Oryzias latipes: one gene and its partners. The protein of the gene in region 3 binds, or shares a complex with, the protein of the main gene of each other region. Links are inferred from orthologs where the notes say so. Each region holds a gene or a part of one and is shown on either strand. Other genes may lie near its edges.

Region 1 (5,088 bases), on a different chromosome or scaffold from region 3:
AACTCTAAAGTATCACATGTAATTTACAGCTTTTTGATAAGTTATTGATCATTATAATGCCCATGTATCCCCCTTCTTTTAGGTTTGTATTTTTTGTTATTATTTTGTGATTGTTGTTTACCTTTTTCTGTGCCCGTTCTAATTGTAATTTTGGCTGTGAGACTGTAAACCTCAAGTTAGTCTCTTCAATAAATAAAGATTTAAAACAAAAATGTATGTGGTTTCCTCCTTTTACCTGTGGATGGGCGTATTCCGAGTAGGGGGGAGGAGCCGATTCCATGACTTCCTGTGTGAAGCCGACCTGCGGGGCTGCAACCACCTACACACGTCAGAGCAACAAAGGTTTCCCTTAAACCGTAACTCTGTCAGAAACGCCAGACAGAAAACGCTCACAGGTCTAAACTACAAGCTTCTGTTCCACTTGATCCCATCTGATTTCGTGTTCATTTTTAGATCAAATAAAAAAAAAAAAAAAAAATCAAGCTTAGTTTGAGTCTAAACGTATCAGACGATGAAAAATCTTACCATGTTAATCCTGGCATCTTGAAGCGCCATGGTCCATGCTCTGTGTTAAGAAGCAGGAAAAGACGTCAGTCTCACTAAAAGCTTCTCCACAGAACCCAAGAACTACATTTGATCAAAGGTGACACCTAAAGAGTCTTACAGAGCATCATCTGCACTGTCAGCACACAGGCTGATGACACGCCCGTCCCTGCACACTATCTGCAGCAAGGCATCACGGGACTTCCCCTCCGGGGGGGTCAGATCTGACAGGAAATGCAGGAAGGCCCACAATAAAAAAACTCAACGTTTAACTTTAAGGGTCAGCAACTGTCACAGTATCGCGGATGCTGAAATTCACCCTGGCATGCAGCAGAGTTGCGGATGTTGATGCAGCTGACTCTCATGTGGATGTCATCCTCCATGTCCCGCCTCTGCTGATCATTGTAGAACACCAGGCGTCCGTCAGCCCATAGGTCAAACCAGTTTCTCTTCCAGCGGCGCAGGATAGTACCTGCGATGAAAAGAAGCAGCTTCCATCAGCATCTGAACCTCTTTTTTATTACAATTAAATATAACTAATTGTCCAAAACATACAGAACAATAACAATGAGGATGCACATGCATTACAAAACATACATCACAAAAAATTAAAAATGTTCCAGGGCAATATTTAATTATTACTGTTTTGTTCTAATAAGATTCTAATTCTTTTGTTGTTACAGGGATTATTTTTAGAAACTTTAGATTTGTGAATATCAAACTTACCAAATATAATAAATTAATTTTCATCTGAAATTTGAAAACAACGTTGAAATGTATAAAACATTTTTTGTAATATTTCAGTTCCAAAATAGGTGACTCAATGTGTCTAGCTGCTCTTTGGGATGACCTGCATAGGCCGCGCATGCGCGTGACTCACTCTGTCTGTGAAGCCAACCGCTCTTCACCACAGCCATCTGAGAAGACACAACCAAACATGCTGGAAGTGAAACTCAGCAGAACCCCAAAAACGGACTAAATCGACAACAAGGCTCGATGTGACCTGAAATATGTTAGCAGTAGCTACAACTTCCGCTTTGACATGTTACATACATTCTACTAGATGCAGAAAAATTTCCCCAAAGCCGCATTTTAGCCGCAGCGTAAATTTAATACCAACAAAACAGTTTGGAGGCTCAAGCAGTCATAGATGCTATATGGTTGACGTACGTACGTAACCGCGCGTGTGACTCGACAATTCGTCAAAAGGCAAAAAATAATTTGCAACCAGCACGAGATGAGAAGCTTCTGGAGCGGACGGAGGGACCTGCCTGTTCCGTTAGCCGGACCGGACGGACGGACAGAGAGGCTGCAGGAGCCCCGCCCACCGAGACGTTTGTTTTGAATGACGCAACGCACCAGCTGACCGAGCTGGAAAGTGCTGGTAATCTGAGCGGGAACGCGCATGTGAAGGTCTCGCTTGGTCTGCGGGGTGGTGGAGCTGCCAGATCTTCGGTCGGTTTCCCGGTGTTTGGAGCGGAGCGCAGGTCGACTGTCTGCGGAAATACCGTCTAACTACAATCAGTCGAATGCTCTGGAGACGAGACGGGAAGAGAAAAGTTTGAGCGGCGGCGGAGCGGAAGTCCTACAACGACAGGGACCGACGGGCGACCCGGAGTTACAAAACAAACTTAGCGTAGCTTGGTTTGGCTAGTAGTTTGGAAGCTAAAGAGCGCGCGGGAGCCGAACTCTCCGTCAACAATGGCTACTGCTATATACCTGGAGCACTACCTTGACAGTGAGTATCCGTAGAAGGTCCTGGAGGAGTTTTGGTTCGGGCTTCTTCGGTCTTTTTCGTCGCCGTGTGGCTGCGGGTAGTTTAGCAGACGGTAAAGACTAAAGTGTGTGGTAGTAGCACACCTAAACTGATTATACGTACATGTTTGTGACGTCACTTGGGTTGACTTGTGATGGCTTCACAGATTCACGCCGGAGCAGAAATATACTGAGACGAAACCCTTTTAGTTTAGTATTTCCATTGGAGTCACGTTTTTATTTATCTATTTTTATTATTGAGGGATTTTTAACTCAAGAACTGTTTTTCAACCCCGCGTGAAGGCGCTTCCGTTTGCTGCCGGGACTTCATGATGTGCAGCCTGTGCAAACCGCCTTTTTGGTTACTGCGCAGGCCCGGTGCCCCCCTGACTCCACGCCCTGCAGACGAGCCCTTCCAGCTGACGCTGGGTGGCGCTAGAGCGCTGTGCATCCTGTCAGCCCCACCATGCTGAGCACGACCATGATGTGGAACAGGGGCCACCTACATCCTTAGAGCAGCGTTTTTTAACCAGTGTGCCGTGGGAGATGGTCATGTGTGCCGTGGGAAATTGCCCTCATTCACTGATCTAAAAACATTTACCATCTCCAGGATTTCAGCTCAAAAGATCGGATACGTCTCAGATTCAGGACCACATACCCAAGGGGCCTGGGTCACATTTGAAAAGATGGGATCTGCGTCGTCCAGACTGTCATGAAAAGATCAGATACAGGTCACAGGGGGGCAAAAAAATCGGAATTGGGTCGTTTCAGTCTGTGGTGTGAACGTAGCCTTTGACGTCTTGAAACCACAACGAACACGCATCAAACAGTTTTTAAATATTTTAACTTAACTTTTATTACATCTTTTAGAAGAAACAGCTGCAGCTTCCAGCTTTTTCTGCCACAATTATCACAGAAATGCATGTGAGATTGTGGAGGGACTGTACATCAATACAGACTAAGAGTTTCTCCCTTTTCTTTATTTTTGGATGCTGGTGTGCCGCGGGATTTTTGTCAAGGTTTAAGTGTCCCGTGGCTCAAAAAAAGTTGAAAAACACTGATCTAGAGAGCAAGACTAGAGAAAGCCAGAAGGAGCTGCATTTCCAGAAGAAAATGCAAGGTTTTAACGTATATTGCTTAATGAAAATGAAACTAAAAGGGTAAGAATGGGCACAAAATAAAAAATTAAATAAAGAAATGTTCAAAGTTGACCATAAGTAAAGTAAAAACGGCAAAATAATAAAGATATTTTTGTGAAAAATGCCAGACAAGTTTCTGCACCCAGGATTCCCCATGTATTTCAATGGAGGCAAAAATCATGGAATATCTGGAAAAGTTCAAGGATTTGAAGGACCAAAAGTCATAACTGGAAAAAGCTGAAAGAGCTGAATAGTTAAAATAGCTGAAAAATTGTAGAAGGAGATAAGCGGCCAAAAATGTCAGAAGATACTATGATAAAGAAAAAAAGAGAAACAGGAAAATAATGGGTTTATTTATAGCACTTAACCAATAAAAGAAGAGAATCCAGACGTCAACATAAACCTCTATGCGTGGTCTTTCAGCTACAGCTTGTTTGAGAAGCCATAACACACTGATGTATACATCCCTTTGAAACTTCAAATGTCTTTGAAAACATGTTTTTGGTGGCGGATCTTTCTTTATTTCTTACTCGTTTTCCTGAGTCCTGGTGGAAAATGCCAATTAATCGCAAATTTATCGATGTATCGTGATTTCAAGCTGTGCAATATCCATATCGCAAAAGTCAGCGACAATTTCAATAAATGGTAAACCTTAAATGTGCTAAAACAATCTTATGGCAACGTGAACTATTTAATGAATTGAATAAATCTCTTTATCCATTTGACCAATCAGATGGAGCCCTTCCTGTTGTTGACCAATCAGATGGAGCTTTCATGTTAGATGTTGCCCTCTTAATTAGACGAAGGTCATTTGGAGAATAATTTGAGGTATTTTGACCCTTATTTAAATTATACTTTGCAGTGAAATGGAAACGTTTTTGTTGTTTTGCTATTTGTTCATTTATCGCAAGTTATATCGTCATCGAATATTGATCACTAATATCCCATATTGCGGGTTTTCCTCATATCGTGCAGCCCTATTTGATACTATCTGTTATATTTGGTGACCGGCTGTTCTGGGGCAGAACAGGCATGTCTCCAGGGGAAACTACCCAATGTCTGTCCAGCGTCATGATCCCATGTCTCCCTGTGTTTACTTCTCCAGGTATTGAGAACCTGCCGTGTGAGCTGCAAAGGAACTTCACGTTAATGCGGGACCTGGACAGCAGAACTGAAGGTAGGGGTTTTATCCATTAACCTTTTAGCCAAAGGCGACAGAAAAGGAACTTTTAGAAGATGATGGCTTCTTCACTGAAACCCATCATCTGTGGTAGACATAGAGGTTTTTCTGCTTTCCTTTGAGTTGTCCGTCGTTGTGGCTCAAAACATTTCTGCTCCTCTGCAGAAAAGAAAGGAGAGATTGACAGACTGGCAGAAGAATATATATCCAACGTGAAGAACCTGGCTTCAGAGCAGAGAGTGGAACATCTACAGAAGATTCAGAACGCCTACAGCAAGTGCAAGGAGTTCAGTGACGACAAAGTTCAGCTCGCCATGCAAACGTATGAAATGGTGAGCCTTCATGACACGCCTGACAACACGCCACCTTTTTCCTCTCAAGCATGCCTTGTGAACAGAGCCGTTTGAAAGACGTCTTCTTCTGTTCTAAAGGTGGACAAACACATCCGCAGGCTGGATGCAGACCTGGCCC
Region 2 (4,619 bases), on a different chromosome or scaffold from region 3:
TGTCCCTGGTTTGGGGCACAAAAAGATAAAACTAGTTTGAGGATTTAATGAAGAGGCTGCAAATATATCAACTGGAAGTAGAAGCTCGGAGAATAAAAAGAAAAGGAAAAAAAGAGCTGAGTCTTCACAGACTAGAAATGAATAATAAATTAATCTCATCCTCAGAGATATGCTGCGTTTGAGATCCACCTCCTTTATCCGCTCCATCTGAATGTGTAAGTGATCTTGGGTAATCGTAGTTTAAGGGCTTAATCCAATTCTTAAAGCTTGCACTCCAGCATGAAAGGATTAACTAGCATGTAATCAAATTACCTCAATAATATAACATACACTCATTGTTGCTGCCATGATCCACTGTAAATGTTGTGGACAAACACTCATTTAAGGGCTTATGGACCAGTTCAGAGGTTTAGGAGGACTCCCACATAGACCAGGGGGTGGAGGGGGCAGAGCCAAGCCATAGCTTTATACAGTTACCAGTAAAGACTGATCTCAGGGGGACGCTTTTACTTCCTATTGTTGACTTTACATGCGGTATCCCTTTCAAAAGCCCCAGGGAGTGCAAGAAGAGCAGGCTGGTGAAAGTTCTGAACAGAAAAACAACACTTGACTGGGTGTGACCATAAATAACCCACCTCCTCATTAGTTTACACACTCGGGCCCTCCCAGTTGACTGCAGCCTTAAACTGTACTCCAGGGATGGGCATAATTAGTTCCTGTTTTCTGTGACGCAGGTCACCAACCAAATTTGCATCTTCCAAATCACCATTGGTGTTGACCTGCAGATGGCCTTTTGCTGAAATCAGGAGAGATCTTTCATTCTCCCCTTTTTTTTTCCTCCTCTCATTTGTCGACAAACACAAGGCACGAGTGCACTTTCAATCTGTCCCAACATCCAAATGAACCCCAAGGGGGGGTGCTGAAGTGATGCAGCAGCAATTTGGTCATTGTTCCTGGTTGTTTTAATTAGTCGTGCGGGTGAGAGGAGGTGGTTTGCTGCCACATCCAGGATTACTTCATTTCCCAATCTGCCAGGTCAATATTTGAATGTGTCTTTGAGTTGGAGTCATTACAAAGCTAAAGTCCCAAATGTGGCCGGAAAGAAATCCGAACCAGCCTAATGTTGTGGATTATATTAATAAAAATAAAAAATATATACATTCACATCGCCCGTTCAAGCAATCACTTTCAATAAAAGTCTATGTAAGCTCAAGTAAATGCGCATTTCGGACTTCTACCAACTCTCGTGTTCATGTGTACCTACTAGGCCTGCACAATGTACCGCAAATTTATTGTTATCGCGAAATCCAGCTCTGCAATATGCATATCGCAAAAGACGGCAAATATCGCAATAAATCGTAAGCCTTAAATGTGCTAAAAGAATCTTATGTCAGCTTGAACCATTTAACGAATCAAATAAATCCCTTTATGCATTTGACCAATCGGATGGAGGCCTATTATGTTAGATGTTTGTCACCTATGTCGACGAGTGACATTTGGAGTATAATTTTTAAACTGTTGCAATGTAATGGGAATGGTTATTTGGTTATTTTGCTATTTGTTTACATATCGCAAATTATATCATGATCGCAATTTTAATCTCTAATATCGCATATCGCGAGTTTTCCTCATATCGTGCAGCCCTAGTACCTACGCACATTTTTTAGCCCATTTTCGCGCTCTACATACAGCGTGGCCACTGAACGGACACTGAAAGTTAAACCAGGTCCAATTTTAACCAATCAGGAACTTGGATTTGGTAGTGAAGAATGGATGGCGTCCCTTTTGATAAACAGAAGTGCCAACCGTATGAAGATTGATCATGGAAGAGACGTTTATAATAATGGTTTGTGCCCAGATGGAACATTACGACTCCAAGTCTTTCATTTATTGGAACAGAGCTCAGAAAGGAAGAGCCTGAAGAAAGGGTCACGAAATTTACACCGCTTTGACATTTTGCACCAAGCCTCTTCCAACAGTAGGTGGCGGACATGAGCTAGTAAACAGGAGAAAAACAGAAAGATAAGGAAGCCCCTCCCTGCTAGTCCAGTGTGAGTACCACGCGCTAAATGCGTGTTCAAAAATGTGCCATTAGTGAATTTTTGAACGAGCTTCATATTTTTGGTGTGTTCGTAGCTCAAAAGCTGACTGAAGACATTCGGGCTGCACGCGCCTAGAATCAAATTTTTGTCATTCTCTATACAGTTTTGTGATTTTTTTTTTTACCCTAAATATAAGGTTTTAACATTTTATGGTGGTCTATCTGCAAAGAAAGTATAAATGTCTGTTAGTTGAGGGATCGTTAAAGGTCAAACGGCGCAAGCCTGATTCCTTGACAGCAGATTTCTGTTATCACACTTTAGTGCGTTTGAGCTGATAGCCTCTGCTATTACTGGAAAGCTTTCACTTCCAGTCAAGATGCTAAACAAACAGACGCGCATCAACAAGTCTGGAAATATTTACCTTTTGATCATATATGCTGGTGATGAATGGAGAACTTTTGAAAGCTCTCAGTAGAAGTTATCTACAACTTCCCCCAGTGATGGAAGTGTTTTTTTTTCTTCTAAAGAACGCATCTTAATGCGGTTTCCCAACACACTGTCTGCAGTCAGAGCAATGAAGTCTGTTCCTGGAAGTGGATTAATTTCCATTAGGAATATTTTTAGGTCTGGTGATAAAAATCAATACCAATTTAGAATCGGTGCGAGGCCAAAAAAGAAACGAGAAAAACAGCGAGACAAACGGCGGCTGAAGAGATGCTGATGATTTACTTGGGGATTCTAAATTAAGTACATTACAGGAAATTATGCTGCTTCAAAAGAGCAGGCTGTCCTGAGTGAGGGGGTGGGGTCCTATTAGAACATTGCTGGTAGAAAGAGAGCAAGCTGAAGTGGTTGCATAACACAGCAGGGGGGGAAAAAAAAAAAAAAAAAACCTCCCATTCCTCGCTTTTGTTCCTGCCAGAGTCTTTTCAAAATCTAATAAACTCTAAACCAAGACTGCTCTTCTTTGCCTTTAAACCTCAAAGTATCTCTTATTCTCAGCACACACACTATTTTGGTGCCTTCACAACTAAACGTCCTTTGAAGTCAATGTTAAACCTGAAGTGTTTGGAGGGGGTGATGTCATCAGGCTGGGAGCAATAGGTTGAAATGTTCCAAATGGAAAACAGCGCGCCTTTCCTCAACTATGAGAGTCAGTGGAGGACGCTATGTCTCTAAACAGTTCTCGGTTTCACTTTTGGCCTGACCACAGATGCAGTCACAGTTGTGGGTGCTGTATCAAGGTGTCGCTTCCTGATTATTCACTGTGAAACTGCTGAAGAGCAGGGCCACATTGATGCAGCTGCAGAACTGATGCATAACACCTTAAAAAAAATTACTCAAAGTTGTTTTTTTTTAAGTTTTTAAAGCAGTTTGCACCAACATTTTTTTTTTTTTTAAATCAAACACCATTTGGTGCTAAGCATGATGGAAAAGTATGAGTCAGCGGTGCAGAGACAGAGAAACAATTGAACCTGTGAGTTTGTTTACATGGTTCCATTTCCTCTCCGGGGCGGCTCGACTTGCACAAGGGTCAGGACCTGAACTCCAGTCTGAGAATAATCTGCCTTCCCTTTTCACAATTGCACAAGTTTCCAATAAAATATTCAGATTCTCCTCGCAGATGCTATAGAACTGGCAAGACAAGTGGCCACATCCTCTAAGGTCATTAGGCTAGAGTTACATAACCTGTGGGAAGCCTACAGCAGACTGCCTACCACACACTGTCAGCATTACTTTCAGAATATCTAAGCCCTCTTATTTTGGAGACCAATTTTGGGGAGACAGCTCCACTAGGTGATTTTTTTTAAAAACTTTATTTTGAAAGTTTAACAATCCATGTGCCCAACTAATTCGATTGAGATGTCAAGTTTCGTTCTTGTGACATGGCGTGCTTTTGTTAAACACGTCTGCTTCAAATATAGCATGAATGGGGTGAGTTTACCTGGTCTCGTTCGTGTGGGAGGAGCGTCACCAATGACAGGAGCAAGGGGGAAGCACTTGGACACCTGGAGCTCCTTCCCTCCACGCCACCATGGCTGAACTTATACCTCGGACCGTTCTTCAACAATCTGCCGTTATTGACGGACCGCTTTGCTGCCAGTCGCAACCTCTGCCGGAAAGCAGGGTTATCAACAACGTTTGACAGGTCGTCCTGATTCCTCAGATAGCGCTCGATGTTCTTTAGAGAGGAGCCGTGGGTATCATCCAGACCATCGATGGCCCTCCTAAGTATTTTATTCCAATCGATGTGGCGCAGATCGCTCGATTCCCATATAGAATCCTTTGATGGCACAGATGTGTTCGCAGGCAAAACCGATCCGAGTCTTCCCAGGTTCCCGGGGTCCTTGTAGGAGGTGCTCCCCTTATTTGTAACCTTGAGGATAGAGCCATCAAGAACGCTTAATTCCAACTGTTCAAGGATGGTCTTCTTGTCCAGTCCATGCAACGTGGCCACCGCATGGCAAATTCTTTCCTCCGAGGGCCTTTGCTTCTGCCTTTTGATTTTCTGTATTGCTTCAAGAATCCACTCCGTGTACAGAGGATTTGCAAGTTTTACCATGATTGAGCAATTCA
Region 3 (5,099 bases):
TTCAAAGTAGGACTCCTTCTCCAATCGGTCCATGAGGTACTCAAAGACCTCCTGAGGGATGGGGGGCACGCCATCACGCCGCCGCTTATCGTTCATGATACCAAGCCAGATATAATCCTCCTCATCAATATCATACTCGACCTCCTCATCCAGCTCCTCTGCTGACTTATCAATATACCTGAGGAATAGAATCGGTAGGGAGGGTTAATGTGGTTAAGATGAGCCAAAATGAACCGGATAACAGTTCTAGCACATGGAGAATGGAAAATAAATGTCTAACAGCATCAAACAGGTATGCTTTGCAAATAGTTATGAATCCCATTGGGGTCCTGAACACTTACCTGTAGTAAGATGATGGTCGAGGGGGGGCATCGGGTCTATCTTGGTCCAGTTCTCTAAACACAGCTTCTGGGAGTTTGACGGCAGGACCAGACTGAGAGTTGTGGTGATGAGATGAGCCATCCTTCTTCTTTGCTTTGCTCTTATGCTTCCCAGTCTTTGGTGTTGCTTTGGCCCCGTTGGAGGATGTGATATCAGAACGGTCTTTGCAGCTCCCTCCCACTTCACTGCCTCCACCTCCACCGTCGCCGCCGTTACACACACCTCCCGTGCTATTGCCAGTTCCAGATGGCAGCGCATCATCAGCATCGCTGTCCTCCTCTGACACCACATCAATGTTTTCGAAGATGCTAATGCGATGAACACGGCCTTGGATCTCCAGTTCGACCATGCTCTGTGCCTGGGCATAGGTCATGGTCTCCCTCCCCGGAGAGTGGGAGTGCTCTGATCGGCTGGGGCTCCCCGGCGTGTTTCCTTCATGACCCTGTCCTCCATTGCCTCCGCCATCATCCGTATCCGCTGAACCAGTCAGAGAGGCTCGAGGGGGCCGTCCTTTCCTCTTCTTCTGTGGCATAGTCTGTGCAGGAGTTGGATTGTCATGGTCATAATGGTACAGGTGATACTCAATGCCACTGTAGCTCTTGTAGACCTTACGACAAGTCTCCACAGGACACTCATAAGGGGGCTTGGTGGCCCTAAGATTGTGACAGAATGTCTTTACATCAAAATCCAGCCCCATTGTGCCAACAGACACTGCTGGGACATATGATGCTCAAGTTTACATCTGTAACAGGAAAACACAAATGGGAGCCAAGATGTAACACTGACCAGATGTCTTTAGGTGATAGTACAACATATCAGAAGAGTAACTAACTTTTTTCTTTTAAATTTGAGAAACCTATATTGATATGGTGTAAATATTTGTGTATTTCCTTTGATGATTAATACAAATTATTAGATTTGTCAGTTGTCTGCGAAATCAGCTATGTGAAGTGGTAACTTTTAACGTTTAACTCAAACTTTGATCAAAGGATTTGTTGGTTAAACCAAGGGGTGCAATGATTAATCGATGAATGGATTTTGTATTCCTACAATCCAACCGAATTGACCTTTACCATTATAAAACAATTTCAAAATGAAATAAATTGATTATATCGATATTGGAAAATACTATTTGGACTGAGGCACGGTGGGTTTATTTTCCTATAACGTAAAAACAACCAAGTGCATCAGAGAATGTCAACTTGCGTTATGTCAGCAAAAATGGATTATGGCATCATTATAGTGTAGAAATACTATGACTTTGCAAAGATGTGACCATGCAGTGTGGTCGAATGGTCTAATAATGTTCTGTTTGTAATATTTTACGTGAAAAAAACAACAGTGGGCTGAACTTTATGAAACTAAAATGTGAACGGATTTGCCATTGATTCTTGTTAACGTGTTTGTTTCATTTACACTTAATTATCTTGCAAGAAATCTGGAAAACTTCACCTGTTCAGTACCCAGGTATTTATGTCTGAGTCACACTGCTTGAATTTCTGGCTAAAGTTGTCCTGGATCAACTTTAGGTCAGTGAACGGGATTGTTCAAAATGAACCTATATTGACTATAAATCGTATCTTCAACCACAAATCTTTAAATGGATCGAATCATTGTTAAAAAGGAATCGTTACACCCCTAGTTAAACTACGTCTTAGAGTTATTGTAACAATAAATCAAAAGTTTATGTGAAAACTTGCAAATTAACTTAAATTGGTGGGATTTTTAGCAGGAAATGATTTTTGTTGATTGCTTTAATACATCCTCGTGAGCTGGGTACGGTGAAGTCATGTAACCAAGAGGCTTCCCGTAGTTGTAGTGACAAATAAATAGTTGCAAATGTCTCCCAGTAACAGGTGCATTTCAGTGCCATTACTACGACCCTTACATCTTCAGTGAAGCTGAGGTGACCATTACAATAAAACTACAGCAATACACCACTGTTCACAGGCTAAAGGAAACACAAGGAAAATAAATTAAAATCCAGTAACAAAATAAAAAAAACAATTAAAATAACAGAGTTTATATTTCTAAGAGAAACTCAAACACGTAGCTTTAATCTTGTTAACTAGCGTTTTCAGTCGCCTCCACAAACAATGACAACAGAAAGCGCTATTAGCCATCATGCTAACAACAGCTAGCAAACAACATTAGGTCACGAAGCGAATAGCGCCAATAACTGTAACGTAGCCTCCATAAACACAAACGCAATTAAACATTGAGCAGAGCCATCTTTACTTTAGTCCTTACTGTTGTGTTGCTTTTCAGTTGCATACTTCACGGTGACGTTTAATTCGCTTTGCTAAAACTGTAGCTGAGTTCCCGTGGTAAACGTTAGCGAAACAAAGAAAGACATGTCAACGTAAACACCACAGAGCATCTCGGTAGAACTACAAATACACAATTCTGGAAAGTATTTGGAGTTACGTACACTGCAGGCTGGCTGGAGTCATTCAACCCCGGTGTTTCCCTCCATAACGACCTCACCCTGGTGATTCCGGAGACTGGGCAGCGATTTGACAGTTTAACATCGGGTTTTGTGAGACTAACAAACAATAGTGGGGAATTCAAACGCTTGACCAAACTAATGCTAGTAAAAATGTTATTTTCTGTGATACTGTGTCTTTTGAGTGTTTTACTAGTAACCAAGGAAGCCCGTGCGTACTTCTTTTTGACGAAGGGTCTGACGAACGTCAGTTTGTTTTCAGGACATGATAGACTGAGATGGATTGCGATAATTGCTAAGTTGTCGCCTACTGGCTCCCACTCAGAACTTTAAATGTGAACAGATTCCCCACATAACAGTATTACGTTAACATTGTAGTTCATGACTGGCGTTATTAACACTTACAACTCCACGTTCCTCAAGAAAGACTGCGTGCTTCGGAAACCTCACAGCAGCTCAGGATAGCAGTTCGAGTTTAATTGATTTAAAAAAAATCCCAGATGAGATCACAGAGATCGTAATTGCAGTGGGATGTTTTTATGAAACAATAAAATATCCAGGTACTTTCATTGTGTATTAAACAATTCAGGAATACGGATGAACAAAAGGGGCAACCATTGCAGTAACGCTGCGCAGCGGAGGCAGTTCGACACATTCGACACGGAAAGCAGGATCTAATTCGACCGTTTTCTTTGATTGGATCAGACAAAGGGATACTGGGGGCGGGAGCTCCATTCTGATTGGTGGTTGTGTTGAGTATGAGTAGCTGATTGGTTGTTACAGTTAGATTGGGCGGGCTCATCTCAGAGAAGATCCAATCGAGAGCAAGCCATTTTACGACTTTGCGTCTTGTGTAGTGCCTGTGTTTGAATTTCAACTGTGAGCCTGTTAGTTATTACGAACAGCACATCATATTATTTGGAGTAGTTTCTGGTGATAATCTATTTGATTTGGCATTCAATACTTTATAAATATCTGGGAAATTTTTCATTCATAAGAGCAGATTTTCAAAAACCAAACCATTATTCAATACATTTAATAAAGAGATCAGTTTATATTTTAAATCTCTGAAATTAATAAAAAAAAACAAAAATGCTATAAAATTGTCTATTTTCATTGAAGATCGCATGTTGTATGACAATCCCTGGTATTGTGATCTACAATGTTAATGTTATTTTTCATTTTTTTTGTTTGTATTTTATTCTTTGTATGTCTTTCTGTTGCAGCTATGGGTATATGTTTGTTTGAAGTTCAATTAAAAAAAAGTTATTACGAACTCCATCCTTTCATGCTCAATGCCTACTAGTTATTCTGTATTTTGCTATCAGACCTAGTTAAATTTGCCAATCTGTGGCTTGCGTTAGATATTATTGTACAGTGCAATGTCTAGTAAAAATGAAGATGAATATTATTTCTCTATTTCTAAATGTTGTGAATTTTACAGTTGTCCTAGTGTAGGCAAAACAAAATCCCATGTAAATCTGCTGTAGAAATATGCAAAGCTACATATTTTTTTTAAAATAGATGGTTAAATAATTTACAAAGTAAAGCATTACAATTTTTAATTTGACTGTCAATTGTAAACTCTTCATCATCAAATAAATACAGTTAGGCATGCATGTCCAAAGTCTGGCCACATGTGGCCCGCATGCACATTTCTACCAGTCCGCAGGATCCTGTCATCCAATCAATAATATGGGACCCCCGGCGCCTTTCTAAGGACTACTTGTCGTTGTAAACCTTTGGTAACAAACACTTGACCTTCTGAGCCTCCAAGGCCAAATGAGAAGGGAAGACTTTTTTTTTAATGAAAAATAAAATAAAATGAATAAAAATAAAAAAGATAAAAAGAAAAAAAGTGTTTTGTACTTCTGAATATGATAATTTTGTGTTACTGTTTTGGTCTCGTGATTTAAATTTAGAAGTTTACAGTGAGCATTAAATTGTAAATAAAATGTAAAGTTTCAAATGAACCCAGATTTAATATTCACAAAAGGTTTTTTTTTTCTTTTCAGAGAGACATTTTCTTTGTTATAGTTCTGGTCTTCAAATATGAAATTCACAGTAAGTTAAAAAAAATGTATTTAAATGTATTTTTGTTCTGTGTGAAGAAATGAAAAGTATTCCATTATAAATAAATCATTGAATAGTTAGTTTCCAATTGACCTCTTAAATCACATTTTGGGTTGTGTTACCACAGTAGTTTATTCTGCTTACTGGGGCCCTGTGACTATGAAATAAAATGATGCATTTTAAACCAGAGCAAAGTCTT
Region 4 (4,619 bases), on a different chromosome or scaffold from region 3:
TCCTCCAAACCAGCAAAAGAGCATCTGTGACAGACTGTCATATTTGTTTGTAAAATTTTCCTCACTGCCAGGTTTGATAGACCGAAGGCCCCCTCCTCCCCCTCTTCTTCCTCTACTCCTTCATTTTTAAATGACACAAGTGGGTCAGAGCTGTCTGTCAGCTGCAGCCAGAAGGCAGTGTGCGTCGCTGATGCGCTCCTTTCTCCTTGTGCTGTCTTTCTGCACCTCCAGGCCACCCGTCCTGTCTGAAGTTCTCACCGGAGCTCACGGCGCGAGTCAAGGCTCTGTGGTGGCAGTGCATCGAGTGTAAGACCTGCAGCAGCTGTCAGGATCAAGGAAAGAATGCGGTGAGCGGTGGAAGGAACACGCAGAAGCCCTGATGTCTCTCTCAGGCGTCACATGACGACATCCGTGGTCCTGCTTTTGAGCTTAATTGTCAGCTTCTGCGTGGTTTCACCCATTTAAGCTTCCTTTAGATGAGTCGTTTGAAGAGATCTTTATCTCTGAGACTAACGGCGTGACAGAAAAGCCTCCATTTGACTGTTTTACCGTTTAGAAATATGTGCATATCGTTTGTCATCTTATTTATTGACTTGTTAGCAGTAGAATGTAACCATATTTTCAACCCTATAAAGCACACTTAAAAACAACAGTGCGCCCTTATATATAGATTTCTTTTGGTTGTGCTTATTGATGTCAAAACGATTTTGAGAGGTGCACAGCACTCTGTCAAAATGTCCGTCAGTTTTCTTTTTTTTACGAAATCCAAACACGGTTGGGTTTTATTGTAATACTTATAACATGTCGCGTGTTACAAATATGTTTTCGAGTTACTGTGAACGTAGCTAATAAAGTTTTATGTCAATTATTGACGGTGGGATACTAGGACTTTGACGAGTGTACGAATAAGTCGGCTAATCGCGATCTGCTCTCGAAAATTACACAGTACAAATATTTGTGACATCACTGATTCGTGATCTTTAGAAATATATGTAAAAGTGTATTAAAAACACAAATCGGGATTGATGTATTTATTGCTCTTAAATGTTAAATAATGTTGGATTTTAAGTTTCTGAACCAAAAAAAAAGAAAGCCGAATGCGCAGCGCCACAGTCATCAAAATAAAGTGTCAGTGAAGCTTCTCTTTTTCAAAATAAAACTCTCCTGTGTGTTTATGAAGTTTAAAAAAATGAGACTAAAGTTCAGTTTACTGACATAAGATCTGAAAAACGAATGAGCTTTTTACAGCGGAGTGTTTACATTCTTCTCATTGCGGTTACTCTTCAGCAGCAGTCGCATTTAACTTCATTCCAGTCGATTCTGAAGCGGAGAAAAGCAGCCTCAAGCTGATATGCAAGCACTGCACAGTAGCCATGACATAATCGCCAGGAAGAAAAGCAGCTTTTCAGACCGGCTTTGCGTCGATATGCTATGCTTCGGAACGTAAAGTGTTGCAGAACTTTGAGGATGGAAGACTGTGGAAAAAAATTTCAGGATTTGTTGTTATTTGATCCAAATCAACAAGGATGCTCATGTTACTGCTGAACGTAACCAGAGACCTGCCAAAAAAAAACTTAAGTGACAAACAGCGTTTGTTTGTATCCCAATCTCTGGGTTTTTATCAATTGTGTTGAATCTGATCTCCTGTTCTAGATAAAAGCCTAAGTGATGGTGACTGAATACATATCATTTTAATTTCCAAACGGCCAGTTAAAAGACAAACTAATAAAGCAAATGTACAATCAGACTCAAAAGTAAGAATGGTAGTTTGATCTGTGAATCGAATCGGATCACCGCCCAAGTAACGATCCCCAGCCGTATGCCATAAATAGTGTGAACAGTACAGTCCATCTGAGGAAGTGGGACGCACTAACATGAATGTATTTGTGTGTGTGAGCAGGACAACATGCTCTTCTGCGACTCCTGTGACCGCGGCTTCCACATGGAGTGCTGCGACCCCCCACTCACGCGGATGCCTAAAGGTAAATCATCAGCAAAATCCATTAACAAGACCAAAACACACGTGGTGGGGTATTTCGAAAGGAAGTTTTTGAAATTATGGGATGGCCACAGGACCTACAGCTTTGCAGCTGTTTGGCAGTATTCACATTTTTCTACGAAATGAGGAAAAAAAGTTCTGCTTAAGGGATCTTCACAAAATTTCAGACAGGCGCCGTCAGATCTATTGTTTTGACCTTTGACCTCAGCCAGAGGCTACCATCTTGACTTAACAAAAGATCACCTTTAGTGGCTTTTACAAATTTAAACTCCTCCTAGGGATTTCATTCTCTCGCCTCCTAACTCCTCGAGCATCTTCTGGAAGCTACAGTGAAAACAAATGTTGGTTTCAAAGTTTGTAGATTTTCAACAGCTTTGGAAGGCAAACTCTGAAAAGTGAAAGAATCCCTGGCTATTCAAGCTCAACAATATACAGTATGAACATTTAGGAATGTGGGCGTGGCTAACAAATACTTCCATTGTCAAGGAAATCCAAAAATTAATTTTTAATTACATGTAACCTTTGGGAACCCCAGGCGATCAAAAAAAGATTGTTGCTATGGAAATAAAATCTACAGAAAAGTGGCATTTATTTATTTATTTATTATGAATTTGGCACATGCATCTCTCACCAGGATGGCAAAGGGCGAAGGGGAGATTGAAGGGTGTGCAGCAGCCGTTCAGGCAGTAAGGGCGGGTCAAAATGGGGCGGCAAGGGCCGTTAGCGCCTCGTATAACGCCACTGGCCGCTTTAGTCCAGTTCTGATCTGCTGCAGAAATACTTTCATATCTCGCTTTTCTTTGCGGTGGATGACCTGAGGGTTTTCTTTCCCCCTTTTCTGTCCCAGGTATGTGGATTTGCCAAATCTGCCAACCCAGGAAAAAAGGAAAGACTCTTTTACACGAAAAGGCGGCGCAGATCAAACGGCGCTACAACGCACCTCTGGGCCGGCCAAAGTCCAGGTACGGAGCCAGGTTCATGCACTTGTCACATCCGAGTGCGAATAAACTGCTGAAGGGATGCAGCTTCATACCTCTGCAGGAGTTCAGGGTTCTCTGATCTATCTCCCACAGGCCGGGGCGGCCCTTCAAGAAGCTTGGGGGGCGCGGCCGCAGGAAGCGGTCGGTCTCGGCGAACTCCTCCTCCAGCTCCTCCTGTGAGGGGTACCCGGGCGACGACCGGCTGCTCTTCTCCATGCGAGGCGACGACGAGCAGAGCGGCCTGCGCTACAACAGCAAGACCAAGGGCCTCATCGACGCCCTCACCAAGTTCTTCACGCCGTCGCCGGAGGGCCGCAAGGCCCGCCAGGAGGTGGTTGACTACTCGCAGCAGTGTCGCATTCGAAAGAAAGCGAGTCGCAAAGGAGAAGGGGACGACAGGGGAGGTGAGGGTGAGCACTTTTTCTGAAGTTTTCCCCTCATCAGAACCCCATGTACCAAACCCTCGGCTGTGTTTACGGCAACAGGAAGTCAAACGCTGTGATCACACAGGAAAGAAGGAGCTTCAGTCAGCATTGTTTGTTTTATTCAAACTTCTTTTTGCTAATCCTTTTAAATGAAGCAAGAGAACATTTTGATTTCCAAATGAGCAAAATTGGCAGAAGAAACGCAAAACAGGACAAAAGAATGTGTTTTAAATTCTGCAGTTTCTGGATAATCATTTTAAGCTAGCATTGGCCAAACATGGTTAGCTTAAACCGACCTCCCGTTCATCAGCTTTGCCTTCATTTCCTTTGATGTCCAGACAATCAGGATGGCAGCGACTGGCGGGAAGACGACGACAAACTCCCCGGCCACGAGAACCTGACGGAGAAGGATATCGAGCTGTTCCGACACATCCAGGAGTTGGCGTTACAGGTACGCCGAGTGAACCGAGGAGGAACAAAGCAGCATCTGGCTTTAGACAGGAAAACGGCATCTGAAAGAGCAGGAGGTGACAGGAAGTCAAGTTGGATCGCAGGTTTTTCTCTGCAAAGACACAGATCAGCTGTTGGATTCAGCATGGATAATTGATCCAGATAACAAGGACAGCTGCTTTGCCACAGGAACTCTTTTGAGTTTGGCATTCTTCTCATGACTGATAGGAAATACGGCAAGATCGGAAAGACACAGAGGCCTGACAGTTTAAGCGCACTAAATAAATGAATTACCTTGATGTCAGAGGCTTATGTGCTGCAGTAAAGTCAGGCGAAGGTGGGCGTTCTGCCAGCTATTGAACTGTGAAAGGTCAGCGTGATTATCCAGGCTTAGTGGCAGTGATTCAGAGTTACGTGTTTGTCATAAATCTTACCACAATGCTGTGAAGAGGCTCCAGGGAAATGTTCATTTCCCTGTTTTCCCCATCCTCATATTCATGCTCAACCCCAACAGAAAGTGGGCGTGACGGGTCCGCCTGACCCTCAGATGCGCTGCCCAGCCGTCATCGAGTTTGGCAAGTTTGAAATCCAGACTTGGTATTCATCTCCCTACCCGCAGGAATACAGCAGGTAAGTTAACATACTTCAAAACTGCACATCAACACAAAGCTGTTAGTGAACAGGTCTGTTAACCCAGGGGGGAGGAGGGGGTGTCACGGACCTCTGCCGGTCCGTGAGATGTAAAGGGCCACACACCAAAAAGAA

What was found.
Region 1: brpf1 (region 3) and ing5 share a complex: the UniProt entries of both Homo sapiens proteins name them as parts of the MOZ/MORF complex. The link is inferred for Oryzias latipes from reciprocal best matches to the Homo sapiens genes BRPF1 and ING5.
Region 2: brpf1 (region 3) and kat6b share a complex: the UniProt entries of both Homo sapiens proteins name them as parts of the MOZ/MORF complex. The link is inferred for Oryzias latipes from reciprocal best matches to the Homo sapiens genes BRPF1 and KAT6B.
Region 4: brpf1 (region 3) and kat6a share a complex: the UniProt entries of both Homo sapiens proteins name them as parts of the MOZ/MORF complex. The link is inferred for Oryzias latipes from reciprocal best matches to the Homo sapiens genes BRPF1 and KAT6A.

Annotation. Positions count from the first base shown.
Region 1 is NC_019862.2:3,235,857-3,240,944, forward strand, and holds the start of ing5 (inhibitor of growth protein 5), read left to right. Parts: upstream 1-1,916; 5' UTR 1,917-2,244; coding exon 2,245-2,281; exon of another isoform or gene 2,282-2,362; intron 2,363-2,422; exon of another isoform or gene 2,423-2,611; intron 2,612-4,542; coding exon 4,543-4,614; intron 4,615-4,782; coding exon 4,783-4,949; intron 4,950-5,048; coding exon 5,049-5,088. Other genes in the region: plekhb2 (pleckstrin homology domain-containing family B member 2), read right to left, coding at 236-319, 526-565, 665-767, 863-1,015, 1,424-1,460. UniProt on the Homo sapiens protein: Component of the HBO1 complex, which specifically mediates acetylation of histone H3 at 'Lys-14' (H3K14ac) and, to a lower extent, acetylation of histone H4. Component of the MOZ/MORF complex which has a histone H3 acetyltransferase activity.
Region 2 is NC_019877.2:10,213,465-10,218,083, reverse strand, and holds part of kat6b (histone acetyltransferase KAT6B), read right to left. Parts: 5' UTR 4,606-4,619; coding exon 3,988-4,605; intron 1-3,987. UniProt on the Homo sapiens protein: Histone acetyltransferase which may be involved in both positive and negative regulation of transcription. Required for RUNX2-dependent transcriptional activation. May be involved in cerebral cortex development.
Region 3 is NC_019865.2:17,251,882-17,256,980, forward strand, and holds the start of brpf1 (peregrin), read right to left. Parts: upstream 3,493-5,099; 5' UTR 3,233-3,492; intron 3,227-3,232; exon of another isoform or gene 2,886-3,226; 5' UTR 2,813-2,885; intron 2,778-2,812; exon of another isoform or gene 2,656-2,777; coding exon of another isoform or gene 2,632-2,655; intron 1,785-2,631; exon of another isoform or gene 1,124-1,784; 5' UTR 1,079-1,123; coding exon 342-1,078; intron 179-341; coding exon 1-178. UniProt on the Homo sapiens protein: Scaffold subunit of various histone acetyltransferase (HAT) complexes, such as the MOZ/MORF and HBO1 complexes, which have a histone H3 acetyltransferase activity.
Region 4 is NC_019867.2:24,401,142-24,405,760, forward strand, and holds part of kat6a (histone acetyltransferase KAT6A), read left to right. Parts: intron 1-231; coding exon 232-347; intron 348-1,900; coding exon 1,901-1,982; intron 1,983-2,846; coding exon 2,847-2,961; intron 2,962-3,072; coding exon 3,073-3,389; intron 3,390-3,506; exon of another isoform or gene 3,507-3,742; coding exon 3,743-3,855; exon of another isoform or gene 3,856-3,916; intron 3,917-4,148; exon of another isoform or gene 4,149-4,368; coding exon 4,369-4,484; intron 4,485-4,619. UniProt on the Homo sapiens protein: Histone acetyltransferase that acetylates lysine residues in histone H3 and histone H4 (in vitro). Component of the MOZ/MORF complex which has a histone H3 acetyltransferase activity. May act as a transcriptional coactivator for RUNX1 and RUNX2.